4 linked regions of the Alligator mississippiensis genome follow. The protein of the gene in region 4 purifies or fractionates together with the protein of the main gene of each other region. This does not show direct contact. Links are inferred from orthologs where the notes say so. Each region holds a gene or a part of one and is shown on either strand. Other genes may lie near its edges.

The links. The genes of interacting proteins can lie anywhere in the genome.
Region 1: the proteins of TOP2A (region 4) and SRPK1 fractionate together in Homo sapiens (co-fractionation; 3 studies listed by BioGRID and IntAct, with this or other methods). This does not show direct contact. The link is inferred for Alligator mississippiensis from reciprocal best matches to the Homo sapiens genes TOP2A and SRPK1.
Region 2: the proteins of TOP2A (region 4) and TOP1 purify together in Homo sapiens (co-immunoprecipitation; 4 studies listed by BioGRID and IntAct, with this or other methods). This does not show direct contact. The link is inferred for Alligator mississippiensis from reciprocal best matches to the Homo sapiens genes TOP2A and TOP1.
Region 3: the proteins of TOP2A (region 4) and ZNF451 purify together in Homo sapiens (affinity purification with mass spectrometry; 3 studies listed by BioGRID and IntAct, with this or other methods). This does not show direct contact. The link is inferred for Alligator mississippiensis from reciprocal best matches to the Homo sapiens genes TOP2A and ZNF451.

What each region holds. Positions count from the first base shown.
Region 1 is NC_081837.1:36,208,968-36,216,140, reverse strand, and holds the start of SRPK1 (SRSF protein kinase 1), read right to left. Parts: upstream 3,014-7,173; 5' UTR 3,011-3,013; coding exon 2,905-3,010; intron 2,815-2,904; coding exon 2,754-2,814; intron 1,698-2,753; coding exon 1,605-1,697; intron 1-1,604. UniProt on the Homo sapiens protein: Serine/arginine-rich protein-specific kinase which specifically phosphorylates its substrates at serine residues located in regions rich in arginine/serine dipeptides, known as RS domains and is involved in the phosphorylation of SR splicing factors and the regulation of splicing.
Region 2 is NC_081832.1:17,920,119-17,928,057, reverse strand, and holds the start of TOP1 (DNA topoisomerase 1), read left to right. Parts: upstream 1-4,926; 5' UTR 4,927-5,054; coding exon 5,055-5,087; intron 5,088-5,363; coding exon 5,364-5,388; intron 5,389-7,939. UniProt on the Homo sapiens protein: Releases the supercoiling and torsional tension of DNA introduced during the DNA replication and transcription by transiently cleaving and rejoining one strand of the DNA duplex.
Region 3 is NC_081824.1:51,324,193-51,332,026, reverse strand, and holds the start of ZNF451 (E3 SUMO-protein ligase ZNF451), read right to left. Parts: upstream 3,014-7,834; 5' UTR 2,732-3,013; coding exon 2,654-2,731; intron 1-2,653. UniProt on the Homo sapiens protein: E3 SUMO-protein ligase; has a preference for SUMO2 and SUMO3 and facilitates UBE2I/UBC9-mediated sumoylation of target proteins. Plays a role in protein SUMO2 modification in response to stress caused by DNA damage and by proteasome inhibitors (in vitro).
Region 4 is NC_081827.1:164,313,761-164,320,774, reverse strand, and holds the start of TOP2A (DNA topoisomerase 2-alpha), read right to left. Parts: upstream 3,003-7,014; 5' UTR 2,897-3,002; coding exon 2,861-2,896; intron 2,718-2,860; coding exon 2,574-2,717; intron 1,391-2,573; coding exon 1,300-1,390; intron 389-1,299; coding exon 325-388; intron 1-324. UniProt on the Homo sapiens protein: Key decatenating enzyme that alters DNA topology by binding to two double-stranded DNA molecules, generating a double-stranded break in one of the strands, passing the intact strand through the broken strand, and religating the broken strand.

The sequences.
Region 1 (7,173 bases), on a different chromosome or scaffold from region 4:
ATTCTTGTTAAGATCACGTTCTAAAAATAAGATTCTCCACAAAGCCAAATCGCTTAAGATTAATAATACCACTCTTGAAATTTTTAAACTCATTTATCATCATTTGGGATATACTTGTTGGAGGAATCCTCCATGCTATCCACCTAGAGTAAAAAAGAAAAAAAAAAAAAGAAAAATACTGTATTGCATTATCTTCTGGCAACAACATGCACTGCAGCAGTCTGCATGCCAGGTGCTTACTGTTCTTTTAACATTTAAAGAGCAGTATTTTTTTTATTTGCTCTCACAATTAAGGAAATACCAAGAGAACATTTGGTTTGCTCATCTGCTTTAAAATGTACTCATTTAAGTGTTTAGAGTTTTTAATACAGTGCCCCTGCCTTCTGGTAGCCTCCAATAATGCAATTTTCCAAGCTGACCACAGCTCAGCACTTAACTGACTAGCATGTTGTCTTCTGACCTCGGTCCTTTTCCTGCCTGGGGCAGGGGGTTGGACACTATGATCCTCCAAGGTCCCTTTCGACTCTATATGTAATCTATGAATCTTCTCCATCTACCCACAAAGAGAAAGACCACTTTTCCAGATATTAGGGAATGAAGGCAGGTACAGGTGCTTCACCTCCATACAGCAGAGTCCTTGCCATTCCTCTTTCAACAGCAGATTACCTTCAGATAAGCACTCTCCCTGCCCCCCCCCACTGCTTATGTCACAAACAGGAATTTGTCGGACATGGGGGGGGGCGGGGGGGGGGGGCGGGACACAGAAGAAAGCTATTTAAATCTGTCCGTAAAGACAATATCAATGCCCTTGCTTTTACAATTAATATTTAGTTTTAACTAAGTTGGCTTATTGGCTTGGCAACTTGAGTCACAATGCTTAAAGTTTTCTTAAAATACACCCTATTCCCATAAGCAGCACTTAAGATTACTATAACTGAAAGATGAAAGTTGTCTTATTTTTCATCCTCTTTATCCACCATCAGTTTCATTGGGTCTCCCTATACAGTGAGTTTCAACTTGTTTTTGAAAGCCGTTCACAGGGCAACAAGAAAAAACAATTTTAAATAGTAATAAACACCTACTGCATCGCAAGATCAAGTGCAGGACTAAAAAGCTGCTGTAGATCTGAAAATAAAACATTAACTCATTCTTTTTTAAACTAACTGCACTGAGTTGGGTACTGAACAGCCATCTGAAACATGTTCTGTAGTTATACATTTATCATAACGAATCTTGTTTCAATACTGACAAAATTTCCCCAATTACTCAAAATTAATTACTTTGCACTTATATACAGCCTTTTATCAAAGGATCAAGGATCACAACAAGACGTTTGAAAGGGCACTTCAGACAATTCTGGTTGTATCAAAAAATTATTTCAAAGTTCCAATAAACTTAAGTTTAGAAGAATAACTAGAACAAGTTTATATTTAAATAACACATTGTACAATGCTACTGTCTAAGCAGCAGAAAGCAAAACTGACCACACTCTCTTGGCAGCCAAAGGTGGAACGAGAATGAACACAAAATCTTTCACCAATTTTTCAGAAACGCTAGAAACAGAGTTAAAGAAATATGTAACTTTAAAACGTTTTTAAACATGCCTGTGAGGCAGGTGAACATCAGGACCAGATTGAGCATCAGTAGCCTGGAGATGAAGGGACTTGCCAGAAGTCATACAGCAGTCAGTGACACACCTGAAAATAGCAAACAGCTAAACAATGTTGACCGCCAATGCCCTCCTCTAGCTAGTTCGTTAGAAGGGATTTTTACAGAGCCACCAGCTTTAAGTCACTGTATAAAAGCTTTATGACTCGCATGGACTGTAGTCTTTACAAACAGAAGTCCTGGACTACATTCATAAATACTGGAGTTGAGATTATTCCCCATGCAGTTGACCGAAAAGCCAGGCAAATACACAGAAATCCCAGCTATGCGCCCCGATCTGACTCTTCATTCAGAAATAAAGACAGAGGAATACTACCTTATAACAAAACCTTTGCGGTATGTCCACAAAGAGCTTTAGAAAGCAGTACATTCTTCCAGATGCATTACACCTCCACGGCCCTCCAGCCGTTTTGTGCCGTCCACTTTGCGAACTCCCCTCAAGACTGGCAAATTTGATCCCTGCAGACTTCCTGCCCCTGCAGGGGGGCTGGACCCGACACTCTCTCGAGGTCCCTTCCAGCCCCTCATGTCTACGAAATGTATTAAGTCTATAGCCAAAACCACCAGACCCTCGCCAGCGGCTCTGACCTATTAACGGAGAGCGAACGTTATTCTGCAGCAAATCAGACGAATCAGTTATTCATTTTTTATTCTTTTTGAACCGCAGACTAACGGGTTGGACAAGCGCTGCTCTCCATAGGTGGGACCATCCACCGTAAAGCTGGCTAGATTTTATTTCGGACACCCTTTGAACTTAATAAAAGAGATAACGGGGGCGGAGAGGAGCAGAGCAGAAAAATTTAGTGCAGAAAGAGCGGCTGAGCGCAAGCTAGGATCCATCTTCTCACCTTACCGCTGGCAAACCCCGAGCCGGGGGAGAGGCCGCGACAGGGAGCTGGGCCACACCGCACCCACGGGGACGCGGCGGCCAGGCGGGCCCACGACAGGCGGGCGCAGCGCGGGGATGGCAGGCACAGCGGGCCCCAAGCAAAGCCCCCCACCCCGGCGCTGGCAGGAGGTGGCAACCCGCGGGCCCCCCTCACCCCCCGGGGGGCGCGGAGGCACGTGCGGCCGGGGACACTCACTTCCTCTGGGCCTTGTCCTTCTTGGCCTTGGTCCGCTTCTTCCGGGCCTGCAGCGCCAGCACTGCGGGGAGAGACAGACGGGAGTGGGGGTGAGGGCGGGGGGAGGGGAGCCGGGCCGCGGGGGCTGTGGGGAGGGGGGGGCGGCGCTCACCTTTCCGCTCCATGGCGGCTAGAGCCGGTAGCCACGGCCCCTCGCGCCGGCGCTCTGCGCCCTCCCCCTGCGCCTGCGCGGGGCCGGGCCGCGCCGGACGGAGCATGCGCGCTCGGGGCACCTTGGCGCGGCGCTGCGCGCGCCACCACGCGGGCTCGGGCTCGGCGCTGCCGCTGCTCGACCTGGGGCTGCTGAGGGACGCCCCGCCCTCGGGCTCGGCCGAGCGCGTGCGGCCACGCCCCCTCGCGGGGGGAGGGCGGGGCGACCGCGGAACGGCTCCCGCCTCCCTGGGCTCCATGGGGCGCGGCGCATGCGCGGTCGGAGCCGGGGAAGCCGCGCTGGGGGCGGGGACTGCGCAGGCGCCACGCAACGCGCGCGGGAGCCGGGCGCCCTTGTGACGTCAGGGAGGGAGGGGCCCACGTGTTCGCGGGGGTGGACGCGGGCGCGGGCTGCAGCGCGGGAACGGGCGGTGTCTGTAGCTAGGCTTAAATTTAGCTTTCTTTTTATATATATATATATATATATATACACATTCACATACATATATACACACATATCTATAAATGCATATGTATATTATATATATATACATACACACATATGTACATATGCACACATAAATACATACACACATATATAGGAAAGAGCTACGTTTTTCACTCTTTTAAGAATGCCAAAAATCATCAGAGTTGGCAACACTGAGCCAGCCTCAGCTGGATCCTGCCTGGCTGCCTCTGCTCCCCACACCTGGCTCCTGGGGGTCCCTTTGGGATGAGTCTAGAGGGGCCTTGGCCTCAGGAGCCAGAGAGGTGCTCAGCGAGGGCAGAGGGCAGGGCAGGGCACCAGCTTGGGGCAGTGGTTCTCTGCGCATGTGCTGCTGCAGCCCATGTAACATCCTGTTAAAGCATTTTTTAATTGGAGGTACAGGAAGCGAGTTGTGTGGGTGCAGCCCATACAACTCTCCCGTCTGAATCTAAGAACATGTTGAGAGCTGCAAGTGTGGCCTATGAAGGCAAACAGGTTGAGAACAGTGTTGCCAGGCCTCACAGAAACAAACAAACCCCCAACCCAAAGGGGGCTACGGGGAAGTTTGGCGTGGCTATAGCCCCCAAGTCCCTCCCTAGTGTGGCCCCTGCTGGCAGGGCACGCAGCAGGGTGTGGAGCTGCTCCACAGCTGGGTTGGGACCTTGTGGTGACAGTGGTTTGGAGCTGGGGCAATCTGCATGCGCCAGGCAGGAGTGTGCCACTGTCTCCGGACCACGCTGTCCCTGCTGCAAGGAGCTGGGGCACAGCCACTGCCTGCATGTCCCTGCCCAGAGCATGCAAGCTGCAGATTGCGCCTGTTCCCTGGCACCAGGGAGCATACAAGCTCCACATTGTCATCACCGCAAAGGGAATTATGATTTTTGTTCTGACAGTATCACCTTAATTTAAAGCAAAAGCATGCTCACAGGTCAATAGAGCAAGTGTCTCTGCACCACAATTGATAATGTAGCTAGTCTGAGTAGCAATAGCAGTGAAGACATGGTAGCAAAACTCTCAGAAGAGGCTAGTCTCCCAAGTAGTGACCCCTGGTTCCTGGCCAGGTTGGCCCATCCTGAAGCCTGTTTTCTCACACTTTCACTGATAAATTTGTTATCCAAGCCAGCTAGATTAAAACTAGTAAATGCTGACTTGAATCACAAACTTACCTACTGACTGCAGCATAGAGTGATAGAATTTTAAAATTTCTGGATTGCAAATTATGCAATTGAATTTCATGTCAATTGTTATAATTTATGATTTAGCCTATGGTCTAGTCAAGAGTACCCAGTGTTTTACCTCCTAAAGAAATAGAAATCATTTCCTCAGTTTTGTGAATAAATTATAGTTTGAGGTGATTTATCACTTTGTTCCTTGAACAGATCAAGGCACCTACTGGTACAGCTATTAGAGTCCCAGGGGGCTGAATGGTCAAGCCATGTTGATGGTTGTAATGGGCAAAGGTCCACTTTGGCTCTAGGTATTAATCAGCCACTGAGCTATTTAGGAATTTCAGTTTTTAGTGCTGAATACATTTTCTGGATTTAGTAATGGTTGTTATATACTCCTCTGAGATCCTGTATGAGCATCTTTGGCTATGCTGTGGTATGGGTGGAATATGGTTATAAGATTTTTGTAACCTGTTGCTTGTTCCCTGTTAGGCCAGGTCTCTCTTGGTTGGCTATCTGGTACCATGTAAACCAGTACAGCCTGTTCCCTGGTATGGTTGTCAGCGACTAAACTGGCACTCCCCCCCCCCACCTGGGCTAGCCTGGTGAGGAGGGTGTGTGGATACCCATGTGGAAGCAAAGAATGGCTGAGGCCTCATGGGGGGAGAGAGAGAAATTCCTTAGATAAGAGGAAGATGACCACTAAAGCTGTCTTGAAGGACACAAAACAGATAGCCCTAAGGTGGGAAAAGCTAGTTTAGGAAACCCTTTGTCTTGAATCTATAAAAGGTTAATTGCCCTTGCTGTAAGGCAGAGAGCCAGGGGGAATCTTCCCTTTAACGGTCTCTTTCCGATAGTTATCGAAATAAAGTTTCCACCTGACCTGATTCCAAATTCTACAGCGTGTTTTTTCCACGACAATTAAATGGTGCCGTGACTCGGATCCACAGCCAACGATGTGTTCGGAGGACCGTGAGCCATTCCCCATCGAACCCCAGCACCACCAATAAAGGTAAGAGGCCTTTTAAATCTCTGTTGGGGTGTCGGAGGAGGACTGCTCATAGGCTCCCTGCTCATGTTGGGTAGCTGGATTTGAACCTTTGTTACAGGTCAGTGTAGAACCAAGACCGGTCACACTAATCCGGTAAAATTCTGTCTGTCTCTGGAAAGCGCGCATAAGTGGTAGGGAGAATCTGTTGCACAAGCACTTGCATCCAGCACAACACTGGGCTTTAGGAAGTCTGAGTGGGTAATGGAAATAAGATTGTGACCCTGATTGAATGGTGATTTGGAATTGGTCCAGGGCAAATTCTGAAACCACGTGCAGCCGCCCCGAGACGTACGTGAGCCCGGTTTGGACGATGACCGGCGCAACTCGAATGCAAGGGTGCGTGGTGAAAGAATAGTCACTGGGAGCCAAGGTTGAGAGACAAAATCAACCCTTTCTTCCTCCCCAGTGAACTTTTCACTGGTCCCTCACCCTCTTGTTTTGCTCTGTGTCTTGTGTTCCCCCCCTCCATTCATGAGCCGCTATAGATCAGCTGCCTGAAGGTATGTAGCCTCAGTCATCAGACGGGGCTACGAAAAGGTATGTAGCCTCAGTCAACAGATGGGCCTACAAGCAGGTTTCTGTGACTTTAGCAGACTCCTTTTGTTGTTCCCCCACCCTTATTCTACTGTGTAGATAAACGGTCTGTTTATGAGCCGTTGCCAAATCCAGAACTCACCTCGGCAGCATTGCAGGCTGAAGTTCGGATCGGCACGGACTTCCTTAATAAGCCATTCCCTTGTCTTGTCTTTCCCTGTGTGATTGTGAAATGGGTACAGGACAGTCAAAGCAAGTGCCAGTCCCCTCTAAGGGAACTCCGGCGTACTATATGTACACACATTATTCTCCCGAGACTTGCAAGTACCTGGATAAATAGTACTGGTATACCAGGGATGATCCTTCCAAGCAGTTCCCTGAGGAAGGCACATTCAATCTAGAAAAAATAGTGCACTTAAAAGGGACGTTAGAGTCCCGTGAATCCAAAACTCCTCAATGCCAGTGGAACGTATTTTTCGATTGGTATGAAGAGATGTCAAAAAGACGCACTGAGTCTCAGACCAAGAGCCTGAAAGACTCACAGGAAAAAATTTTAAACAACAATTGAAGGAAACACAGGAGAAATTGGCCGCTCCCCTAAATTCAAACTGCAGTCCATTATACCCAATACTGAAAGGGGTACCCCCACTAACTGAACCTCTGGAAGACGTATTAGACTTTTGTATCAATCCAGCCTTAGCTGAAAATCCGGCCCCATCTGAATCAGAAAACAAACCAAGCCTGTCAGCTCCCCCTTCAGGTTATTCTCCTCCTTTCCCTACCCAAGCATAGGACAGCCTGAAGGATGACATCATTGCCCCACTTATTTCACTTGACCAATCTAGTCCTTTTCTTAATTGTTCTGTAAACGGCAGGATTATATCTTGCCTGGTAGACACAGGAGCTTCCCTCTACACTTTAAAAGCCTCTGATTTCTCTAACATACTTCTTTCTGAAAAAAATTGTTAATGCTGTTGGCATTAGCGGACACCC
Region 2 (7,939 bases), on a different chromosome or scaffold from region 4:
TTCACTCCCCTACAGTGCTGGTTGACCCACTTTAAATAATGAATTACCATCAATTGTAACAGCATGTACTGAGATCCCTGAGCAGGGGAAACAGCTGCTACACTATTGCAGTCCCTTTCAAGTACAGGGTACAGAGGTACAGGAGAGGAGACTGTTACATGCAGTACCTGGGCACTCCTTATTTTGACCCCATCTGCCCTTATTTTGATCTTGTCCCCAAGGTTTCCCATTGGGTGCGTGCTGCTAGTGATAATATATGTTATCTGAAGGTGAGTGCTCCCCACAACTACTAATTGAGGAGTATGGTGTATAGTGTTCTCCATTTTCTTTGACAGGTGACAGTGCCTTGTGTGGCTTTAGGCACCTGCAGGCACATATCCGATGGAGATAATCTATCTAAGGTAGTCCACTGTAGTGTATTCATTCTGCACCGGTCCTGCTTAGGTGGAGGGCTCAAAGCCACAGCATGTCCTTCTGACTGTATTTGTACATTTGACAAACCTGCCCCTCCCTGTGCAACTGCAAAGATCCCTGAGCACATTAGAAGGATGATGATTCTGCCATGAAGAAGGGTCAGATATGGGGACACTGTTTCTCACCCGGACAGAGGTACAGCAGAAATGGAGGCTACTACTACTGCCCTGAGATCACCAAGCAGCCACAAACCTGGCTTGGGAAAAGACTTTTTGCAGCTCCTCCGAGTACACCAATTAACTTGAGCTGGCCCTGATAACAGGATTTGACCCTTCATTTGACCCAACAGTTAAAAGAGGGAGATGGAACCGCAGCATCCCCAACAGCTTTCTTTAAAACAAGATTCTAATAAGATCTTTATTTTGTGTCTGAGTAGAGCTCTTGAAGACTGGCAAAAGGAAAAGGTATCAAAGTACTTAGGAGCTAAGTGAGTAGAAATTCAACTGGTCTGAAGATTTTAGGGCTTTTTACTGATTTATTATGGTATTCATTGGGATTTATTATTTCATGTAAAATATTCCAGCTATTTCTTTTCAAACCTATCACCTTAGTTTTATTTAAATGATCTTAGGATGCTCTGCCGACCTGTTGAGTCAGCAGACAGACTGAAACAATAGCTCCAAGAAGTGTGAACTTCCAGCATTTATCTTTATGGGGTGTGAACTGTCTTGCTAGTTAACTGACCCTCATCACACCCTCTCTGCTGGCCTCTGCAACTGAGACATCCAATTAAAATGGACTCATGTCCTGGACTGGATTTCTTTTTTTTTTTTGGAAAGATGTTCCACTGCAAGGAGGATGAAAATTTTGAATGCAAGATAGCCAAATATTCCTCCAGTTATTAGGGTAAAAGGCATGCTTGCAACTGTGCTTCTGATTAAGACAGAAAGTTACATCAGCTAAAAACTGCCGGACTCCCCTGGTGCTGTCTATAGAATCTAGAAGGGCACCAAAAAATTGTGAGTTTTCTCTGAAACTTGCTGCAGCAGAAGCAGCTGCAAAAGCATTTCAGTCTGATATGCTTATACATATCTTCTGAATGATGTTTTATTCCAATCCTGCCTCCCCCTGATGGCACAAGAAGGTTCAGCTGAGGGAGAAAAAGGTGTAATATTCCTTCAAATTTCACTCATAAAGTAGTTGAGGCACCAGAATAACTGGGAAGCCTCCCAGGAGATTTTCCAGAGGTTCAAAATAAATCTCCAACATGGTCCTTGGGATTAGCTCCCGCTGGTGCTCAGCTATCCTGCTTGGCCCTTCTTGGAAGATGCTCCCAGAGCCAGCCTTATAGAAAATGGCACCTGGAGTGAACTTGTATTTTGGTGCCCACCCCAACACCCCCACAAGTCAGCAGAACTGTTGCAGGCACAGTCGGGCAGGCTGTGGCACAGGGCACAATCCAGTGGCAAGGTGGAGTAGCATGGTGCGCCAGGCAGGCTCACACTGCCTGGCTCAACTCCTTCTCAGCAGCGGCTGGAGGCAGGGGGCCAGGCTGGGCTAGGCATTCCTCCTCCTGCCTAGGGTAGGGATTGGCCAAGGCGGGGTGGGTGGAGAGCGCCACTATGAGTGCAGGCTGCTCACAAGTGTGTGAGTGTGCACGCGCTCACAAGTATGTGTGCGTGCATGTGTGTGTGCACTCACAAGTGTGCGCGCACACGCTCACAAGCATGTGCGCACACGTGTGTGTGTGTGTGTGTGTGTGTGTGTGTGTGTGTGTGTGTGTGTGTGTTAGGCCTGTGCAAGTAGGCAGCTATTCGATCCGGCTTTGGATCCAGCAGCTTCGGATGCCAGGGATCCGATCTGCAGCTCCAGGCCAGGTTTCCACTTTGATCCAGCTGAAGTGGCCCTGAAGCTTTGAAGCCGCCTCGGAGATCCGGCCATAGGGTATAAGGGGGAATTAATGAAATAGCTATAACTTCAGGAAGCATAAGACTGATTCTCACTCTATTTTCTTATACGAAATGATACTGCTTCTTCAAAAAGACATGTATTTAGAGATTTTCACTATAGCCAATGCTGTGGGAACTAAACACCCCATACTGTCCTGCTGTGACAAAAGGTAAATACGGTAACAAATAAGTGGATACTTAGGACTTCCTGGTTATCATTCTAGTCCCACCACAGGTGCTCAGAATATGGGAGCTGCAGAGCAGAATTCAAATCCTTGTACTTCAGTAGCACAGGCCCTTGCTACTTCTGTCAGAGAAGATTTTCTGCAAGCAACAGTGTAGATGTCTCTGAGACACAATGCAATCCCTTGACAAGACTTATTTAAAAACCTATCTGTTAGTAAAGCATTTTGCATAATAAACAGATTTAGAGCCAGAAATACTTGGGGGCTGTGGGTAAAAAGGAAGTCCTCAGATCCTCTTCTGAAGGGTGTAAGAGAATGACAAGTGTTTTACCCTTACAGAACTATAAATATAACATGCAAAAGGTGACTGATGCTGCCTGCTCACATTCGTGTGCTTTTTTTGAGCTCTTCATTTAGCCTGGTAGCACAGGATTATTTTCATATCAAGTCAAGGCTCCAGTAGTATAAAGGAGCAGGGAAAAGATATACTTCATGTTGTAGTACTGCATGGAACTTGTGATGGAAGACAAGGCGGTCCTCTGAGATATTGTACTAGCTATACATATTAAACTTGTCCATTCAGTAGACCAGAGAGAAAGCTCCTTTGGTACAGACAATTAACAGTTGCAGAACAGAAGCAGATGTCCTTAGGATTTTTTTAAAAGAAGGTACAAGATGTAGCTAAAGGGGGAAAAAATTAAAAAATCCCTGTTCTCCCTCAATTTCCTTGCTGGAAATTAGGTTAAAGGGCATGTCTACACTAGGAAAAAAATCTTTGGGCTGTTCTGAATTTACAATGAAAACTTCTAACTTATGAAGCACTGGTGATTATTACCTTTGTCTTAAAGACCAGCACATGTCTACCCCATCTCCATCTCTGCTCTATTTCTTAGCATTGTGTTTGTTTGTACAGCATCGAGAACATAGCCTTTAATGCTGACTGTGGGTTTAACAATATTATTGTTGTTAGTAGTAGTAGTAATAGTAATAATGATGATACCAGCTTGACCATCTACTCACTCTGTGCATGTGTCCTACAGAAAGGCTATATTTCCCACCACAATAAACTTCCAACGTTAAATATTCATCATCAAATTACAAGTGAGAGGACCTGATTCTCTACCTTCTTCCACCAGTTTGACATTAACGTGACTCACTTACCGTTAGTGGCATGACTGGTGCAAAACCAATACAAGGAAACAGAGAATCAGGTTCATAAGACATGAGAAGTTACAGCTGAGAGGAAAAATGGGAAAAAAATGAAACACTGAGACAAACAATCAAGATCCTATATTGTTATGGCTATGCTAATGATATACTCTGCTATAATTGGGCCTGTGGTTGAATAAAATGAAGGGTTGCAAATGAGGATTAGGTTACATAGATGCCACCATAATATAAACAAACACTACTTACAAGAAACTTATCCACATGCGGAAAAGTCTATTATTTTAACCCCTAATATAGCAGGTGAAGACAAAGAGATGATGTGGGGCTTGATCAACATACAGTTAGTGACAGTCCCTGCCCCAAGGAATTTACAATCCTTCTGATGAAGTCAATTAACCTGAGCCTAAACACATTACCGCTGACACCGGGATCATGGCTGGATGTCTGGTCCGTGTCACTGCTGTCTCTGCAGCAAGCCCAGGTATAGACTCATTTAAGGGGAAGCTAGAGAAGGTGAAAGTAGAGATGTGAGGAATGTGTTCAACCTGTCACCTGCCTTCACTTCCTGGCCCTGCCCCTGCCCCCACCTCTCTACTTCTACCTCTACCCCTGCCCCCTGCTCTTGGGCTGGGGCTGCAGAGCTAGTGCCCTTTCCCACCTGCCCCCTCCCCCTGCTGCGCCTATGCCCCGCACGCTGCCCTGCCCGACCTGGCAGGCAGGGAGAAGAACGCAGGCCGCTGCATCCTGCCTTTGCCCCTTTCATGCCACTCACACAAGCAGCTGACAGCCCAAGAGGGCGGAGCTTGAAGAACCAGGGCGGGGCCCCGTATGCAAATAGAGAACCCCCGGCGGGGAGACGTTGCGCATGCGTATTCAGCGCCGGTTGAGGCCGGCTCTTACACAATGTGCTGCAGGGCGGTAGGCGCCTTCCTGCGCCAGGGCGTGTCCGAATATGCAAATGAGAGCCCGCATCGCCTCGGCGATTGGAGGAAGGGCAGGAAGAGGTGGGACCGGATATGTAAATAAAGCCGGCGTTCTAGGGTGGGGGTAGGGTACACCGAGAACTCAGCCGGCATTTTTCGTAAAGGGGGCGGAGCCTGGCGCGAGCCTTACCCGGCGTCCCGCGCGCGGGTGGGCGGGGCCCGCATGCAAATCTTGGCGCCCGTTCCTCCCTCCCACCCCCGCTTTAAAAGCCGCGGCGCCTGCGCACTGAGGGCAAATAAGGACTTAGTCTGTTACACAAGCGGCTGCGGAGCGAGGGGCTGCGCTGTGGCCGCCGACTCCACTGCTCCCAGGCGCCTCAGCTCTCCCGCGGCCTCCCCACACAGCGGCCGGCATGAGCGGAGACCAGCTGCACAACGACTCCCAGGTGACCCCCCTCGGGCACCGCGGGGCGGGCGTCCCCGCCGGCCCTTCCCCACTGCCCTCGGCCGGGCCCTTCCCCGCCGGGCCCCGGGCCTAGCCACGCCACGGGGAGGGCGCTGGGGGTTTCCTCCCCTCCCTGTGCGGGTTTGGAGGGTGGGGGGGACCCCCCGACCGGGCCGCGGATGGGGTGGGGGGGGCTGCTCCCTTGTGAAACGCAGCCGACATGGAGCCGCCGGCGCCGCCGTAACCCATTGTCGCTTGTCTCCGCTTCCCCCCGCAGATCGAGGCGGATTTCCGAGCCAACGGTGAGTCCGCCCCGGCCCCGCGGCCCCCGCGGCCCAGCTCGGGCACGGCCAGACATGGCGTCCCAGAGACTAAGTCCCGGCTGCTCGCTCACCGGCCCCATTGTTCCCATCGAGCCGCCCAGTGCTGCCGCCTGCTGCCGCCGGGGCCCCCGCCCGCCCGCTCCCCCGCCAGGGGCGGCCCCCCGGCCCCCGCCCCGGCCCCCATCTCGTCCCCGGGGCTCCCCTTGGGCCCCGATTCCTCCCTGGAAAGTCGCCTTGTCGACGGTCGGGACTTAGTCTCTGCGCCATTTTCTTTTTCTCCTCTCCTCTCTCTCCTGTGCGTGTGTCTTTTTCTCTCCTTCTCCTCCTTCCCTTCGCCGCTGGGAACCAGCCTCCTGCCGAGGAACCCGGGCCAAGTGGCCCCCTCCTGCCCTCGCACCCTTCTTCCTGGGGGGGAAGGCGATTATTTTTTTAGGCTAAATCGGCCCCCCTCCCCCTTCCTCGAGCTGCTTTTGCTGCAGCCGCCCCCCTCGGCTCCCCGGCTCCCAGCCTGCCAGTCATTCCCTCCCTTCCCTCGCATGAAAGGTGGTTGCAACATGTTGCTCTTTAAAAGATTCTGCTGCATCCATTTTAAGCCCAGGCTTTTATTTCTTTGAATGGCTTTAACTTTCACCTGGCTGGGTGGGGCTTTAACTTTTATTTTCAGCTTCAGAAAAAAACTATAAAAGACAGCCAAGGCAATGGCAGCAAAGGAGAGGGCATCACTTCAGAAAGTTCACCAGTCCGCTGTTCATTGTGGTGGGGAGGGTTGGAGGAGTTTTATGGGTGGCAGGGGCTTTTTCTTTCTTTCTTTTGGGGGTGGGGGGAGGATCTATTACAGGGTAGCATATAGGTTGCACCTCTTCTCCCCCCCCCCCCCCAACTGGTGGGTGGTATTGTTCAAGGGACTATTATTACCTGCCTCTACATCCATGTGTCACTGTTACACGGTGAGTTACATGAAGAGCTCTGTCCCCTGATTGATGGAGGGTGGAGACGGGGGGAGGACCATGGCCCAGGTGTGTGAAGGTGCCTTGAACTCATTCTTCCCTCACTCTGGAAAGGTCACTGAACTGGCCCCCCACACCTTTGGGGCAGCACTGTTTTTATGAGCCTAGGTTCTTGCCTTCCCTGCCATACTGTTTTGGATACTGTTTGTGTGTCTACCTGCTTTGCAACCTGTTCTTTGTCTTGCATGTGAATATTAGTGTGTACCCATCTCTTGGTACCTGTGCATATGAATAAAATGAAATGGTGTAAGTGTGTGTATGTAACAGGATTGTGGTGATTTAGTTACTCGGTTCTTAAACAATTTTTCCATTATATAGATAACGTGAAGCCCCAAAACTAAATATTTAAAGGAAGAAGGGGAAAATCGCTTACTGCTTGGACCCGAATTGGGTTTCTTAGAAATACTTAAAATATGCATGTGTATGAATTTTTGTAACCTTCATATGCAGATAAATATTAGGGGTAATTGTAGTCAGAAAAAAAAGCCTCAGTTACTTGCTAATTTACATATGTGAAGTGATGCATGTCGATCCCTCTATCCCAAATTGTGGTGACCAGCTTAACTGGGATTTCCCTTCTAACATATTAAGGCTAGCTCTGCTTGGTTTCTTTTGTTCCTAATTAGGGATGCTTTTAGAAATGCAGTGCTAGATGCTCTTAACTCTTAGCCTTTTCTTGTCCCCGCACAACTGCTGAAGGAAGTCTGGTACACAGATTTAAACTAAGAACATGTCGGGTACCTCTGACACTGTACACCGGTGAATTAAAGGTGTCTGAATTTCGGGCAGTGAAGGCATTGTAGACTTCTGCCTTCGCATTGCAATCCCATATCTTCCTTTTGTTGTCAGTAGACATGACTAGCTAATTTTTTTTTTATTTTTTTTTATTTATTTATTTTTTTATTTTGTCCCTTAGTGGCCCAGGAACTCTTCAGCAATGAATGATGCTTGTAACCCTGTTTGGCTTGTTAGGAGAATAGCACTATTAGTAGCCTGTGTCTTTTCTGACCTTGCCAAAGCTTTAACTTCTGGGAACATGGAGTTTTTTTTTTCTCTTCAGGTTCTTCCTTGCTTCTATTGCACAGTAATATCCTTTGCTTCTGTCACATAGCAATCTTAGAATATCGTCTTTCATTTTAGGCATGGTGCTGGGGCTCTGCTTTTTATATACTTGTTTTGATTTTTTTTTTTTAATTAGTGCTGAGGATTGGGTGGGGAGTAGTAAGACTCCCACGGATATTTTTTTTCCAAACTCTTAAAAATGTTGGCTACTTTACTCTGTTCTGTGGGCAACAAATGTGTGCGTCTCTTTTTTTTTTTTTTTTTTTTCCAGACCCTTTGCTTATTACAGTTACAAGGCTGAAGGGAAGTTTCATTAATCCATAAAATATAAGTATTAGGCAGAGATGCCTTCTTAGGAATAAAGAATATATTGGGTATCTTCTGATTTATAGTATTTATAATGCATTGGCTACATACTTGCAATTAACTATTCTTATTATGACAAGGAACTTGACATTTGA
Region 3 (7,834 bases), on a different chromosome or scaffold from region 4:
TTACTTTCACCATTACTAATCATTTCAAGTTAATATTAAATAAAAGTAATAGATCTGTGATTAAGTTTTAACCTTAATAAATAAGCCTTATTTATTTCCTGGTCAGCAACACTTCCTAGTTTAACACCCAGTAATTGTAACTGGATCAAGGAAAAAAAAGAATCTCTATATACTAATTGCCTACCTATCCTGCTGACAGCCTACAATAGAGAAAAGTATTCTTCCCTGCCTCATGTACCAACCTATGGAGCACCAGGTGAGCTCCGCCACTGAACAACTGACATGTGAAACCCAGTCTGCTATAGCACTTTTTGTTTAAGTGAAAGATGGTTTAGTAAAGGGGGAACAGGATGGAGTGGGGGTACAGACATGTTGTACTATGTACTAAGTCTGCTGCTGTTACCCATCATGGATCATGCTGCTTTCAGGGAAGTCCTAACACAGAGCTGCCCCTGAGAAGCCTTGTGCAGTCTGCCTGTCCTGATAGGACCCCCTCAAGCCAGTCCTGGGATGAAGTCAGGGCGCTAACCCACCGTGCCTTTCCCTTGTGTTTATTAGAAAGCACAGTGATTGAAGTGCTTGCTTATTAGCTTGGTATTAAGGAATCAATCTTCCCATCAAACTGTTGGGACTCCAGGTCCACAGTCACCACACTTACCAGGACTTTAAAGCAGGCAGATGGTAATGAAAAAAGTTTTTCCCCTCTCTACAGTAATCAACTAGTGTAGTAGTTGGAAGCTCGTCATTACCAGTTAGTTTTCATCACACCAAACATTATCCTGTGCACAAGGAGACTATATCCTCACTCAAAGTGTGAGAACAAGGGTAATTACAGAACAGACTCATTAAAAGTGTGCACAATTCACTGTAAAACTGAACTGTTATTTTAGTTACAGCTTCCTCCCACAGTCCTTCAACCCACTGCAGATGCAAAATTTCCCTTATTTAAATTTTGTTTGCGTACAACTTGTTCTTAAGCAGCTTCCCTGATAACTAAGTCATCCCTCCATTCTTCCTTGTCTCCTTCCACTACTATACTGTTTCACTGATAGTAGTGAGACCAACATAAATGCAAAATTATCCACACCTCATTTCCCTCATAAGCAAACTTCTTGCCACAGCTTTGCTCCTACAGGGCAGTCACCTGCAGCCCAGCACACCCAGCTCTAGCCCAACCCTGCCACTCCCACCCCCTGCTCCCTCCAGCTGCAGTTCTGGTCCTATGGGGCAGTCAGTAGCAGTCTGGCACCTGCCCTGCCTGGCCACAGAGAAGCAGCAGCAGCAGCAGCTCCTAGCCTGGCAAGATTGGGGCTAAAGGAACCAGAGCAAAAGGGAAGGAGAGCAGGGGATAGGAGGGCTCAGCCACAAAAATGGGGGAGAACGGGGTGGGAGAGAGAGGCTGCAGGCCCTCCCCTCTCAAGTCTCCCCATGCTCCTCCTCCCCTACCAAACAAGTTATTCCAGCCCAAGGCAAGCCATGGCTCAGCTTCATCTTCAGTCAGGGGCCCAAAGTCAAAGCTGGAGCTAAGCTAACCCACCTACCCCAAGCTGGTGTTCAAATCCATGATAAAGCTTTCCCTCCCCAACCCCCAGGCTGACTGGGGGAAAACCCCCCATCTTGGATTCAAGTAAATATGATAAAACCTAGTAATTTTCCTCTCTTCAGCAGGTAGCGCCACAGAGCCAGGTTCTGGCACCCCAGGGAGAACTTTATTCCACAAACAAACAGTCTCAAGGATTTTAAAGGGACTGGGATTGCTTGTGGAGTAAGAAATGCACCCTGTAGGATTACACCCGCTACTGTCCCAGTGAACCGTCCAGTTTTTCCATGCACCTGCCTGACAACTTTGCTCACCTGGCTCCTCTGCTCAGTCATTTGCTCCTACCAGAGGCAAGTAATCCCCAATACAACCAGCTTTACTGCAATTTCTCAAGCTTCCATGAAGCCCTCAGGCACCACCTGTCTGAACCTGCACAGAACTCAGCAGAACCGTGGCCTCAAGTCAACAATGCCCTGTCGCTATCGATTTCCTTCTCCCAAGTCCTGCAACTCCTGGCAAAGACCTGGTTTTTTCTTTCGCAGTAAATGAAACGCAAGCCTAGGGAGCACGCGTGAGAGGGGGGGAAAGGGGCAGAGGGTGAGGAAGGGGCTCCACTTCCACAGTGTCTGGACTGACACTGAGACCTTGCTTTGGAGCAGCATTTTTCAACTCATGGGTCAAGACTCAAAAGTGGGTCTCAAGACTATTTAAAAGGGTCCTGAGCTGCGGCAGGGTAGAAAGATAGAAGGAAGAGGCAGGGGAGAGAGCTACATCGCAGCACTGGCACCGGACCTGGTGCCCATGCCTGCTGGGGCAGAGCAGCCAGGAGGCTGGTGGGGGCAGGAGGGGCCAGGACCAGGCTGCTTGGCATGGTGCAGCCTTGCAGCCCCAGCCCAGGGAAGGCTCGGTGCCACAGGCCTCTCCTCCTCCCCGCTCCAGCCTGTGCAGGGGCCAGACCTGTTTTGCTGCCGCAGCTACTGCGCGAGTGGGATGGGGGCAGCTGGGGGCCCCTGTGGCAGAGCGCAAGGGGGGGGGGGAGCAGTGGGCTGCGGGTCAGGACTGAGGGACACCAGCATGGGAGACTGGGGCCCAGGCCCCAGCGGCAAGACTCACGCTGACGAACTGCACGTCCTCTTCGCTCTCCGCCGGCGCCTCACGCTTCGGGGCCCGGGCGGGGCCCACGGCCTCCATTGCCTGGACGCGGCCGAGCTGCGGGGTCCGCCCCGCCCCGCAGCTCGCGCGGGTAGGACGCGAGGCCGAGGGAGGCCCCGCCCCGAGCCCGAGGGCGCAGGGGGCTGCAAGTGTCAACCCCCGCTCCGGCGGCGGCTTTCAAAGCGCCGGAGGCCGGTTGCTAGGACACGGCCGTGGGGCGTCTCCCGCCGCGTCACCGCAACAGAGCCGCACAACCCAGTTCCAGCAGCGCAAAAGAGCAACCCCGCCAGCGACTCGCGCGGTGGCTACTGGGATCGCCAGGCCCCGCCCCCACGCCGCGGCTCGTTGGCCATGTGCCTGCCTCTTGCTTTCGAGGCGCCTGCGCGGTAGAAGGGGGCGGGGCAGGAACTGTTACAGGCGCGAGCCCCCCACCACCTCATGTCCCCAGTAGACAGCGGATAACATTTAAAGGACCCGCGGCCCCGCTGGTGCGGGGGTGGGAAGCGGTCTGAGGCCGGGGCTGTAGGGGAGGCGCCCTATAACGCCCACCTTGACTGGGGAAGAGCGGGCTCGGGGTCGCGCGCAGGCCAGGCCCTGCGTCGCTCCCTCCGCTGCAATGGAATGGGAGGAGCGGGCGGCAGAGCCGTGTTCCTGGTCCCGCCCCGGCTCCCCGCCGCGCCTGCGCAGTGAGAAGTGCTGGTTGGGTGAGGGCAATGACGACGATTACCGTATTTACACGATAATTTCAACCCTTGTGCAATCAAGACTAGCTAAAGTGTTCAAAATTTCCGGCAACTTTGGAGGCACTTAATTGGTGAGCATACACAAAACGTGACTTTCAGGTTTGCTATCAGCACTTTCTTATGACACTTGCTTCAAAATAAAAAAAATGCTTCAAGTTTGAGGATCCAGTTCTCACTCACTCATTGGCAATTTATAGCAAGCGATAGAAATGAATAAGACTTATTTGCATAGTTTTTTCAGTGTATGGTAGTTTTTCAGCAAATATCATAATTTTGAGCTTCCTATTGGATAATTTCATACTTGCCACCTGGCAATGCTGGATGAGGGGCTCAATTTGCAGCCGGCAGGGCCTTGCCCTCAGCCCACTGGGCTCCCTGCGGCCCTAGTGCTGGCTGGCTAGCAGGACGCGCTGCTGTGTGCTCCGCCGCGTAGCTGCCACCTACAATTTTGAAGCAAGCGCCTGGCAGTGGCGCCAGCGGCTGTAGTCAGGCAGCACTGTGGGAGTCACTTGACTTGACAGCTTATTAGTTTCCCTGGGAGCCCTTCTAGGGGCTTCGTCCCTGGGTGTTAACGGCCCCCCTCTCCTTTGTAATGGTCTCGCTGTGCCACCAGTCCAATTAGCCTTTGCTTTGCCATGCTGCTGGCTGCTCCCCACTCCTGCTGACCCTGCAAACTGCTTTTTTACTCCTTCCAAAGAAGCAATATTTGTTTTTGCTTCGGTCTTAAACTGAATGAGGCAGCCCTTGGCCCCTGGCGTATTAGTAAAGCTTCTCATTTCCTTTTTCCAGGAGAAAAACAGCAGTTGTGTTACACGGGAGGATGTGCCTCACCATCTCCACCCCACTTCTCAAAATCCTAGATACTTGTAGTGGTCGTCACCTCTCTTTCATTCCTGTTCCACCCAAACTTGAAACCTACCTGCCTAGGAGAAGCAGTGGCCTTTCTGTGCGGGCACCCCTGAGGGAGTCAAATGACTTGTTATAAATCAGGGATTCAGGTTTTCTGTTTGCCGCAGAAATATCCCCTTTAAAAGAGAAAAACCCAGGAAAACAGGTTTCCCCTTGCAGACTGACAGTTCCAGCCTGCAAGGAGCTGCTTGGGGCTGGGGGGAGTGGGGCACAGCAGGTGCCACACAAATGTGCACATGCAGGTGGCAACCAGGAGGCATGGTAGGAAAGCAGTTCTCTCCGGGTAAGTCTATGCAGGGGGTCACAGGAAATGCATTGGGTGGGGGGCATGTGCCCCCGCAGATTTCTGCACTCATAGTGGGGTGCAGGGCATGGGGTTGCAGCTGAGCCAGACCAGCTCCAGGCAGGAGCCATTTCTGCAGCTCAGCAGGGGGGACCCAACACACGAGGGAGTGCTGCACTGTCATGGCTACCAAGGTGAGGCACCCCCTGCCCGCCCAGCAGCAAGGTGCAGAACTCTGCATCAGCATCTCACCTTGGCAGCCATGGCAGTGTGGCGCTCCCTCCCACTCGGGTTCCCACCTGCTGAACTGCAGAGGCAGCTCCTGTATGGAGCTGCTCTGGCCTGGCTGCAGCCCCCATCTTGCTGTGGGTGTAGAAATCTGCGGGGCACATGCCTCCCCCTCACCTGTCTGTGCCCCCCAATGTGCTACTTGTGCCCACACCCCCCACTTCCCCACACACCCACCCCCTTCCTCACACATTGGGAGCAATAGGTCAGGAGTGATGGGGCACCAGCAGGGCTGGGCTTCAGGAGTAAGGGGCACCAAAAGGGCAACAGCGTTGGCAGGTGCAGGGCACCTGCATATCAGGGCTGCTCAGCACCACAAAGTAGCAAGTGAGACGGCCGCAACTGGACCCGTGTCTTGTATATATGTATTCGTATAGTGGCATTTCATTTTAATCTCGGGAAAAAAAAAAAAAAACAAAAAAAACAAAAAAAAAAAAAAAACAACCCACAAAAACAAAAGATTTGGGGTTTGTTTGTTTTTTTTTTAGCAGAGAAAGCCAGGATCCCTGGTTATAATCCATCTAACGCCTGCTAATCTCCCTTTGCTTGACAGGTATTAATGACTCTTTTTTAATGGTCTTGCTGTTCCACTATTCAAACTATCCTTCCTTTTGCTATGTTGCTATTTGTTGGCCATTCCTAGTAATGTCTCTCTTCTATTTCACAGCCCTCCAGACTGCTTTTAGCTCAAGCTAAAACCCTTAGGCTCAGGTGTAGTAATGAGTCAAGGTATTGGAGGTATTCAAGAACATGAGATTTTGTTTTCAGAATCTGAATAAGAGATATAAATTTCACTATAATGGCTATATGACTAATAAAACTATTTTTTAGCTACTTTTGCCTAGTCTGTATTTTTAAAATTTTATATATGTTCCAAGACATTAGCGCACATCCTTGGAAGGTTTCTGCTTTGATCTTAAACTGAATAATGTAATGTTTTTCTAGCTGTTTCTGGTCTCTCTGAAGCTGCACTGTCTGCCTTGCCATAACCTGTACCCTACACCTGATGGAAAACACACAAAACTTCTCTTGTAACCATCCACAAAAGACTGTAACCCTTCCCAAGGACCTTAGAGTCAAAAGGGCCCTGCTCATTCACACAGCCTTTCCAGCAGGGAGATGAATTTCCCTGCTCTCTAGCTTCCTATTGCAAACACGACAGGAGGTTCTTACTTAATCCCAAGAGGACCATAGCATGTAACCATGTCCATTACTCTGCCTGACCTAGGCAAACAAAGTCTCCCAATCAACAGTAACAAACAACCTCTCCTGCACAAAACTTACAACCTTAGTCACAATTACCATACAGTTCTACTTTACTACAAGCCTTAGCTAAACCCTCTAGAAAGGGTCACCCTGTACCAACAGATTCCCTGATCAGTCAGGTTATTGCCCTTGTGTCCTGGCTAAGTGGCCAATTGTTGGGCTGAATTTTAAGAACCAGCCCCTATACCTTTGTTCCAGGTGAGCACAACCCTCAGACTGACCACAACACATGCCAGTTGATAATAGGCGAGTTTATTGATACAGAGTGATAACAAAAACCCACAACACAAACAGTTCTATATCTACCAGTCCTAGGGCTGTCATCAGAGTCAAGGTACATCTGGCCAGGATGCAATTGTCACTTCTGAGGCTCCCTCTTAGGTGTCATCGGTCTGGAGGTGGGATTTCGAGGCTCACAGCTCTCCTTGGTGGGGTACATAAGACAGGCTGCTGGTATGTCCTCTGTCCATGGTGGCCTTGGGGACCCTTCTCGGGGAACGGGGATGGGGACCATCAAGTGTTTCCTTTTGTCTTTGGCATAAGAGACATCTGCAAAGCTTCAACAAACCGCTGACATCAAGGATTTTTCAGTTGCTTAACCCGTTTCTCTAGATGTTACTTAATACATTCCTATACAGTAGAACCCCAACTTATGCATACATTGCGTTCCTGAGAAGCTTCACGTATCGGAAATTCATGCAACTTGAAGTGAATTTTCCCATAGGAAATAATAGAAAATTGAGGGGTTGCGTTCCTTGGACCTCACATTTATGACACCAAAGGCACCAAATGCAACCTTTTTCCAACCAGTGCTTTATTTATTGTCAGGGGATGGGGTCCCCAGGGATGGCCTAGATACTCCTATGGCTCCTTGACTATGCCAATCCTGCCCAACGGGCACCCTGTTTCTCTCCTGCCATGTCTTCTTGGTAATTATTATGAATAGGATGGCTGCTCTCAAGATTGTTTGGACACGGTCCTGATGGACCCCACTGAACCCTGTGGGTTCTTGGACCCATTTTGGGTCCTGCACAAGATGGTTGCTTCATAGAGCACCCTCAGCCTTATGGGCTCCAAAACCACACCTTTGCCATCTGCGAGGCTTGGGGCATGGCATTTACACATTGCCCCTCTGGGGCCTTAATTAGCTTGGCCTCCGATCATCACTGGGCTCTCCACAGCCCTGTCTCCACACCCCTGACGCTGGGGTCTGTTCACCCCGTTTGCCTCCACTCCCCCTGGCACTGGGGTCCGCTCAACCCCTTTGTCACCGCACCCCTGGCACTGGGGTCCCCACACTGTAGTGCCCCCCCGCCCCAAATGAGGCCTCCTTCTTTCCCAATAGCCTCAGCCCAATCCACTGGTCTATAAACAGCAATTAAAATGAGCCCCTGGGCTATAACATAACACCAGCAGTTTAGGTTGTGCTCTGTCCCTTTAAACAAGTCAAACCCGCACCCCCCCACCAAGTGCCTTGCAGGCTAGGGTACCTGGTGGGCTCCTGGAGCCTCGTTAGCCCTAAGTGCAGCATATCAGGTAGCCACAACATCTCTAGGCGATTCCTCCCTGGAGGCTCCTTCCCTTTTGGCTGCTGACAGAGAACTGACCCTCTCATCCCAGCCCTGGGGTTTATATGTACCCAGGGCCCTGCCT
Region 4 (7,014 bases):
TCCACAAACGAAATGGTGCAACTGAGAGGACAAGGCAGTACAAAAATTGAAAAGGACAAAATAAGTAAAAAGCTAAAAACAGAGATTGGACCTGAAATCACCACTTTGCAGGAGACCAAGATAAGAAAAATGACAAACTTGCACAGTTATTTATCTGATGAGCTGCAGGAGTTACTTCTGGTTGGGTCACACAACATGTTCTCCAGTATCTATGAGTCTAACTGCATGAGAAGGGTAAAATATACAAGTGCCAACATACTGAACTATTTTGCTCATAACACCCGAGGAAAAATCACTGAACAAAAGTTAAAACAAAATACTTACGGATCAATTGTCACTTTAATGCAGGACATGTTTTTATCCCTCTGCTTGTTATCTGCAGCATTGACTAAAGATGAAAAGAATTACCAGATTACTTTGAGTGAGAAATCTGAGCTGCTTAGAATAGAAAAACTTTACATCCAAACAGTTTTTAATAGAATACATACATTCAGAGACCATGGTACACCCTTTGGGCTGCAAAGAGTATGGCTGTCAGGCTTGTCTGGCATCCCTGGACTGGATCTGAACCAACGGGGCTATTCATCGACTGGATCAGGACTACTGTTACAAGTGCCTGAGTTGATGCGTTGGCTCAGGGAGTTGCGGGGCTCAACACAGCCGTGCTTCGCCCACCCACTGCCAAAACAAACCCCAAAACTTCATACCCTGGGATTGAGTGATGGATCTTGCCCCACATTCCCAGTTCCTCCAGAAGCCCAACAGACTGTATGACACAGCTCTGCAGGCTAGATCTGAATGCTTGACAACCTTGTTTTAGGAATTTAGTATTAAACAATTCTCAGTTATGTTTGAAGATACAAGGACATTATTTTAAAGCAGGGGTGGCTAACCTGTGGCACAGGTGCCATGGGCAACCTGTGTGTGAGGCATGCAGATCAAGGAAGGGACAGACCATACAACAGCAAATAGGGAAAGCAGCAGAAGCAGAGCAGAAGATCAGCCAGGGAGTATAGGACATGAAGCAGAACAGCAGATCAGACAGATAGGGAACTGCAGTGGCACTTGGGAAGGATGCAGGGCTCTTTTAAGGCATGACTGCTGAAAAGGTTGGCCCCCATGGTCTTAAAAATGCTTTGCAAATCCTCACAGTTAAGGGTTATTTTAAATTACCATCAAACATATTTTTTTTTTTAACTAAATGAAGTAAACAATTGGGGTTCCCCTAATATGCAGGCATCCAGAATTTGTTTTCAGAATAAATTGCTAGCCACTGAACTGTTAAATCCCTCAGCTTACCTAGAATTTCATCAAAGATTTTGTACAATCCAGGCACAAAAGTCACATCTCTGTAGTTGAGTCCCACATCCTCATCATATACCCACATTTGCTGAAAATAAAGTTGAGAAACACTCAATATTTTTCAGATCTGCTGCGATTTCTTTACCCTTAATTTATAAATCAAAGTTACACTACATTGCTTTCTAATTAACTAACTCTTGTTTAAACGGAAAATCATTAACTTTTATGTCAAGGAATTAACTACTACTGAACAGGCAATGTAGAGTATTGTAATTTCTTTCTAATTTATGGGAACATGACTACGCCAGCAAGCTACAAGCACTTAACATTATTGATCACAGTTGATATCTGTACTAAACGGCTAGGAAAAACATCCCATTTAAATTAAACAAAGCAGTCTTAAGTAAGCACCACTTAAATGGCTCTATGTTCACTAACCCTCACAAGAACTTTCTGCCTACATTGAGCCTTTGCTGGGAAAAGCAGCATGTAAATCTAATGAATAAATAAAATTGCAAATACTGCATCAAAAACACAATGGGAAGGAACAGAACAGAGATGGAGGCTCTAGGGAGAACAACAGCCATGGCTAAAATGTAATCGCATTAATTCCTAGCGTGGCAATGCCTAGCAGCCTCACGGTGCTGTACAAACACAATGTTTATATGTGGCACTGTTTGTACAAACACACTGAGTTTAAATGTGTACAAACACAGCGAACGAGCTTCCCCCAGAGACTTTAAAAATCAAAACCCATCTCACGGTTTGATAATAGCAAACCATTGGAAGTGCCCCCTCACAGGGTTGCGCAGGAGACAAAAGAGGATGTGCTGGTGCTTCCTATTTTACGAAAGTAACTTCAGCCACTCAGTAAGGCAAGAGCTGCTCTGCTCTGCCTGAACCCCCCACCCGGCATCTCTCACAACACACACAGGAGCGGGACCATTTGTGATTATTACACACTTACACACGCCAGCTGGATCTTTGGCGGTTAGACACACAGGTGCACTAACCAGATCTTTTGCAGTTATACACGTGCTAACTAGACCTCTGGCAGTTGTACACACACAGGGTAGATCTGTGGTGGTTACACGCACACACACAGGAGTTCTGGCACACACACACGTGCACACACAGTCTGGACTCCGGGCGGTTACACACACACGCACGCACAGGGTTTCTGGCAGCTGCACACGCAGGTTGGACCCGCGGCACTTGCGCACGCGCACACACACACGCGCGCCCGCGCGCGCCCGACGGCGGGCGGGCACCTGGGTGAGGAGCTCCACGGAGCCGATGTAGGTGTCGGGCCGGAGCAGGATGTGCTCCAGCTGCGTTTTCTTCTGGTAGATCCTCTCCACCGACAGCCGCTTCGCCTTCCCGGCGGCCTTCGCCTGCGGGTTCTCGCTCAGCTCCTGCCCGCGGGGACACGAGACCGCTGGCACCGGAGCCCAACACAGGGTGGTGACACCCACACCCACCCACCCCGCGCCCTCTCCCTGTGCTGTGCTGTGCGCTCCCCACCCACGCCCCAGGGAGAGGCGGGCCCCGGACGCACCCTGAGGGGCGACGACAGGGACTCGTGCAGCTCCATGGCGGCGGCGGCGGGGCGCGATGCGGGGGGCGGACGGGACGGGACGAGACGAGACGAGACAGATCGGGCCGGGCAGACGCTCGCCGCGGGCTGTGGTACACAAAGTCCGTTATCGGCCGCCTCGCAGCCTTTCAAACCTCCGCCGGACCCGCCGAAACCGCTCCGCCAATCACAGCGCGCCGGGAGAGGCGGCTCTCGCCAATCAGCGCCCCCGCTCTCCAGTGAGGAGGCGGGTCGGCCCCCCGGCAGCTAATCGCAGCCCGCCGGGTCGTTCAAACCAGCCAGTGGCCTGCTTAAGGAGCTACACTGGAGAAGGGGGATGGGGAGGAGCTGGCCACCCAATCAGCTGGTCGAGAGCTATGACGGGCAGGCGGCTCAACTAATCACAATGAAGGGGAGTGGGGGAGGGGGTGAAGGACCGATGCTGCTTTTTTGAAGGAGTCCTGGCTGCGGGAGTTGGGGGCTTGGGGGAGTTAGGTTTCAGGCGTCAGGAAGTATCCGGAGCTCTGTCCTGGCTGTGTTCTCCCTCCACCCCCGCAGTGCCGTGCCGTGCCGTGCCGTGTGACTCCCGTGGGCTGGGTCCTGGCTAAGTCCCCATGTGCTCACCCAAACAGGTGGAGTTGCTGCTGCTCTGGGCTAAGGAGCAGGACCCGCCCCCTACTCCTTATAGCGGTTACCCCATGGGGCTGTACTCTGATCCCTGTCTCCCTGCTGTCCAGACCCACCAGGCTCTGAAGTCAATGCTCAAACAAAGTCCTATTTGAAACTGCTCGGGCAAAAACACCAGGGAATAAAGTGCATCCCACCAGGGTGGATGATGTGTCCCCCTGGGTCTCTTTCTCCCCGTCCCTTTTAATCTTCAAGCTTTTGCTAAAATGATGGGTGCTGAAATAAGCCGGAAGGCAGGGCAACGTGGCACGAACTCAGTGGTTTCCAACTTTGCTGGACTCAAGGTGCCCCTTGCTGGACTTCAGGCACCCCAGTATAGCTTTTGGCAATTGAATGGCACCCACTATGGAAAAGTAATGTAGATAGTTCAGGTCTGGGCAGAGGAGCCAGGCACTGTGGGTGGAGGATTGGCCACATAGGGACAAGCCTGATCCTGTCTTTTATCTGTTTATCTCCTTATTTATCTCCGTATGCCTCACTTATATCCAAAAGATCTGGTATCACCCTGGTTGAGAATCGCTGGACTAGCTGGTTCAGAGAGCCATGAGCTTTTGTGAGTGACAGCCTATTTTGGAAAGGACTCCCTTGGGTGCTGCATGCAGCAAGGGCACCAGACCTGCTGGAACTGGCACCATGTCCACCGCAGACCTGCGACTGGCCAGCGCAGGCGCAATGTATCCCAGGACCAGTCCGGCATGTGCTGTGTTCAGGGCCAGTCCAGCATGTGCTGTGCGGTGTGTGGGTAAACTTAAACCCAGGAGCAGCACCAGGGGCCAGATGATGGGGCTTCTCAGGCTAGATCCAGCCCTTGGACCTTATCTTTGGCAACCCTGCTCTATAAGGTGTCACCCTGCCCTGAAGTGCTACCCACCCTGCCTTCTGCCTGGCTTCAGACTAACTACCTGTTTCAGCCATGTACAGCTGTCTGTACTGACACAGCGACATAAAAGTCTATTAATACTAAATGTTCACTAGGCTTAAACCAGTTGTCCATTTTTATGGTGGCTAATTGTTGCCATCTGACTCCTGTCACAACAGGCCCACGACAGTCTTGAATGAAAATTAGCCCTAGTTTTAAAAGGGGGAAGTGTTATCTTGGTTTTTCGCAGCTACTGCACAGGCACTCAGGGTGGGACAATGGGCTCTTAGTCTGTAAGATCCCAAAATAAAAGGTTTTGTCGAGGGGAAATGGTAAAGGACCTTACTTTACACTTTCCCTTTAGCCCCATTGTGCTAGCAAAATCAGCCTGAGGTACTGTAGGTCAATGGTGAATCTGAGCCTATGTCTCTTCAGTAGCTTTTGCCGTGAGGATCAGCAAGATTGTGTATTAAATATATAAATAGAGTGTGCATATGCAGGAATCCCATTGCTTTGGCCATTCTCAATGCCCACAGCGCTGCAAATATGCCCTTACTTGGAAACACATCCAAAGAGCACCTGAGGTTTTCTTAGTATAGTCTCCTCGTCCACTCATCCTGCTTCCCTCATCTGCTGTCATATATGTCAGAGCTCAAAAGCAGGTGCCTTTTCTCGAATATTATGTGTAAATAGCAGCTTTTGGTGCATAAAAAATGAAGTGATCTTTCTGTGCAGATCAGTGTTCTGTGAGATCACAGATATGAAGCCAATGACATCATGAGAATGAATTAAGTCATCTCCTCTGTGAAAGAGGGGGAGCTGATTACTGGGTTACAACACAACTCCTCTGGAAGGAAAACTCAGTTCATAAAATCATAGGAAAGTAAGGCTGAAATTTACTTCATGAGGTCATCCAATACAGCCACCTGCTGGATTACTTGTTTAGGGCCAAATTATTGGCTATACACGTGTTGGGGTGTGGGGTGGCGGTGTTTTAATTAGAGTGGTTCCCAGAGAGCTGCTCTAATTAAAATGCCACAGCATCATGTGGATTAAGTCACTTCATGTTTAAAAATGGCCACAGGGCACTTTAACTAAAGCTCATTTGTCAAGCTTTAGTCTAAGTGCCCCAGCGTCCATTTTTTTAACCCATGGGGTTTATACACATGACACTGCAGTGATGCTAGAGTGTTCTAATTAGAATGCAGAACAGATTTGATTAATTGAATCTGCTCCAACCCATTCTAATTTGTACATGTCGGAGCCCATGTACAGGCAACCCAGGTTTCTAAAAGTGGCTCCTCAGTGTGGATGCTCAAAAATGGAACTCCCGATATGTCACAGCAGGGGTTTTACTTTCACAGGCGCTGAATGGGCATAACTCCATCAGGAGCCAATGGGAAGTACAAGTTGCTCAGTGCTTCGAAAAGGAAGCCCTGAGTCTGCCAGACAGGTGTCCTAGACTGGGTGCCATCACTGAAAAATGACATATCCCAAACTGGAGAGCACACTTGGAAATGTAAGTTTCAGCAAATCTCAAACCTTTTATAGAAGCTGCCTGTAAGAAGGATTTAATTTTACAGCCAGTGACATATTTGAATTTAAACAAGACATTTTTCACATGGTTCAGTAAAAGAGGCAGCAAGGCTTTGGCATGGATGGCATTATCATTTGAGTCATTTTGCATTGGTTCACTGTATTAGGGACACACTTTTTTTCTTTTTAAAAATAAAAGGTTTGCTTAGAAATGAATCTGCAATAACAAAGTGGTCAGATTGGCTCAGTCCTCCCCAACCACTAAAATAACAGACTAGTATGCATGTAACTGATGAAGGAGAACCAATCAGCCAGGCCAGTTGATATCAGGTTCATGTTTGACCAGTTATAAGGCATGGTAGGACAATTGGCAGGGAGAAGAGATTAAAAAGTATGAGGCTTCCCTCTCCCTGTGTTGTGTGCTTTACATCTATTTACATTTGGAATTTTCCCACCTCTATTTGGTTTGCTCTTCCCTGAGTCGTTGGTGGTTAGGATCCAGAGTAGTAGACAGGCTACTGCTTTGCTTATGGGGCCGTGTAAAGCAATGATGTTCCTTGGTTTAAACAAACTGGTGGTTGCCTCCAGAGCTCTGCTGAGGGCTGACCCCACGTAGCCTCTGAGGAAGGTCACCTTTAAGGGTGAACTTACACATACTTAGACCATACTAAGAGCACTTAAAATGTGCACATCCACATGTTAAAGCTCATTAACTCATGCTAAGTATCCTCTGATTCTCAAAGTTACATAATTTCAGGTGAGGGTTAACTCTGGGATGTTCTTCCTAACTCCTTTTAGTTGGCTCCATGGGGATATATTCAGTTGGCTCTCAGGATGCATTGCTCCCAGCCTCCTCCTTCACCCCAGAGCAGGGGTAGAGCCCAGGTATCTTGGCTCCCAGCCCTACTCCTGTTCACCAGCCCTCCAAGGGTCAGTCAGACCTGATCAGGCAGCAGGTATTAATTCTTAGTGTGTGACTGCTCACAACCTGTTCTAATTTATAACATCACTTAATATTCCACAGATGTAGTACAGTCTATGTGTAATGTATAAC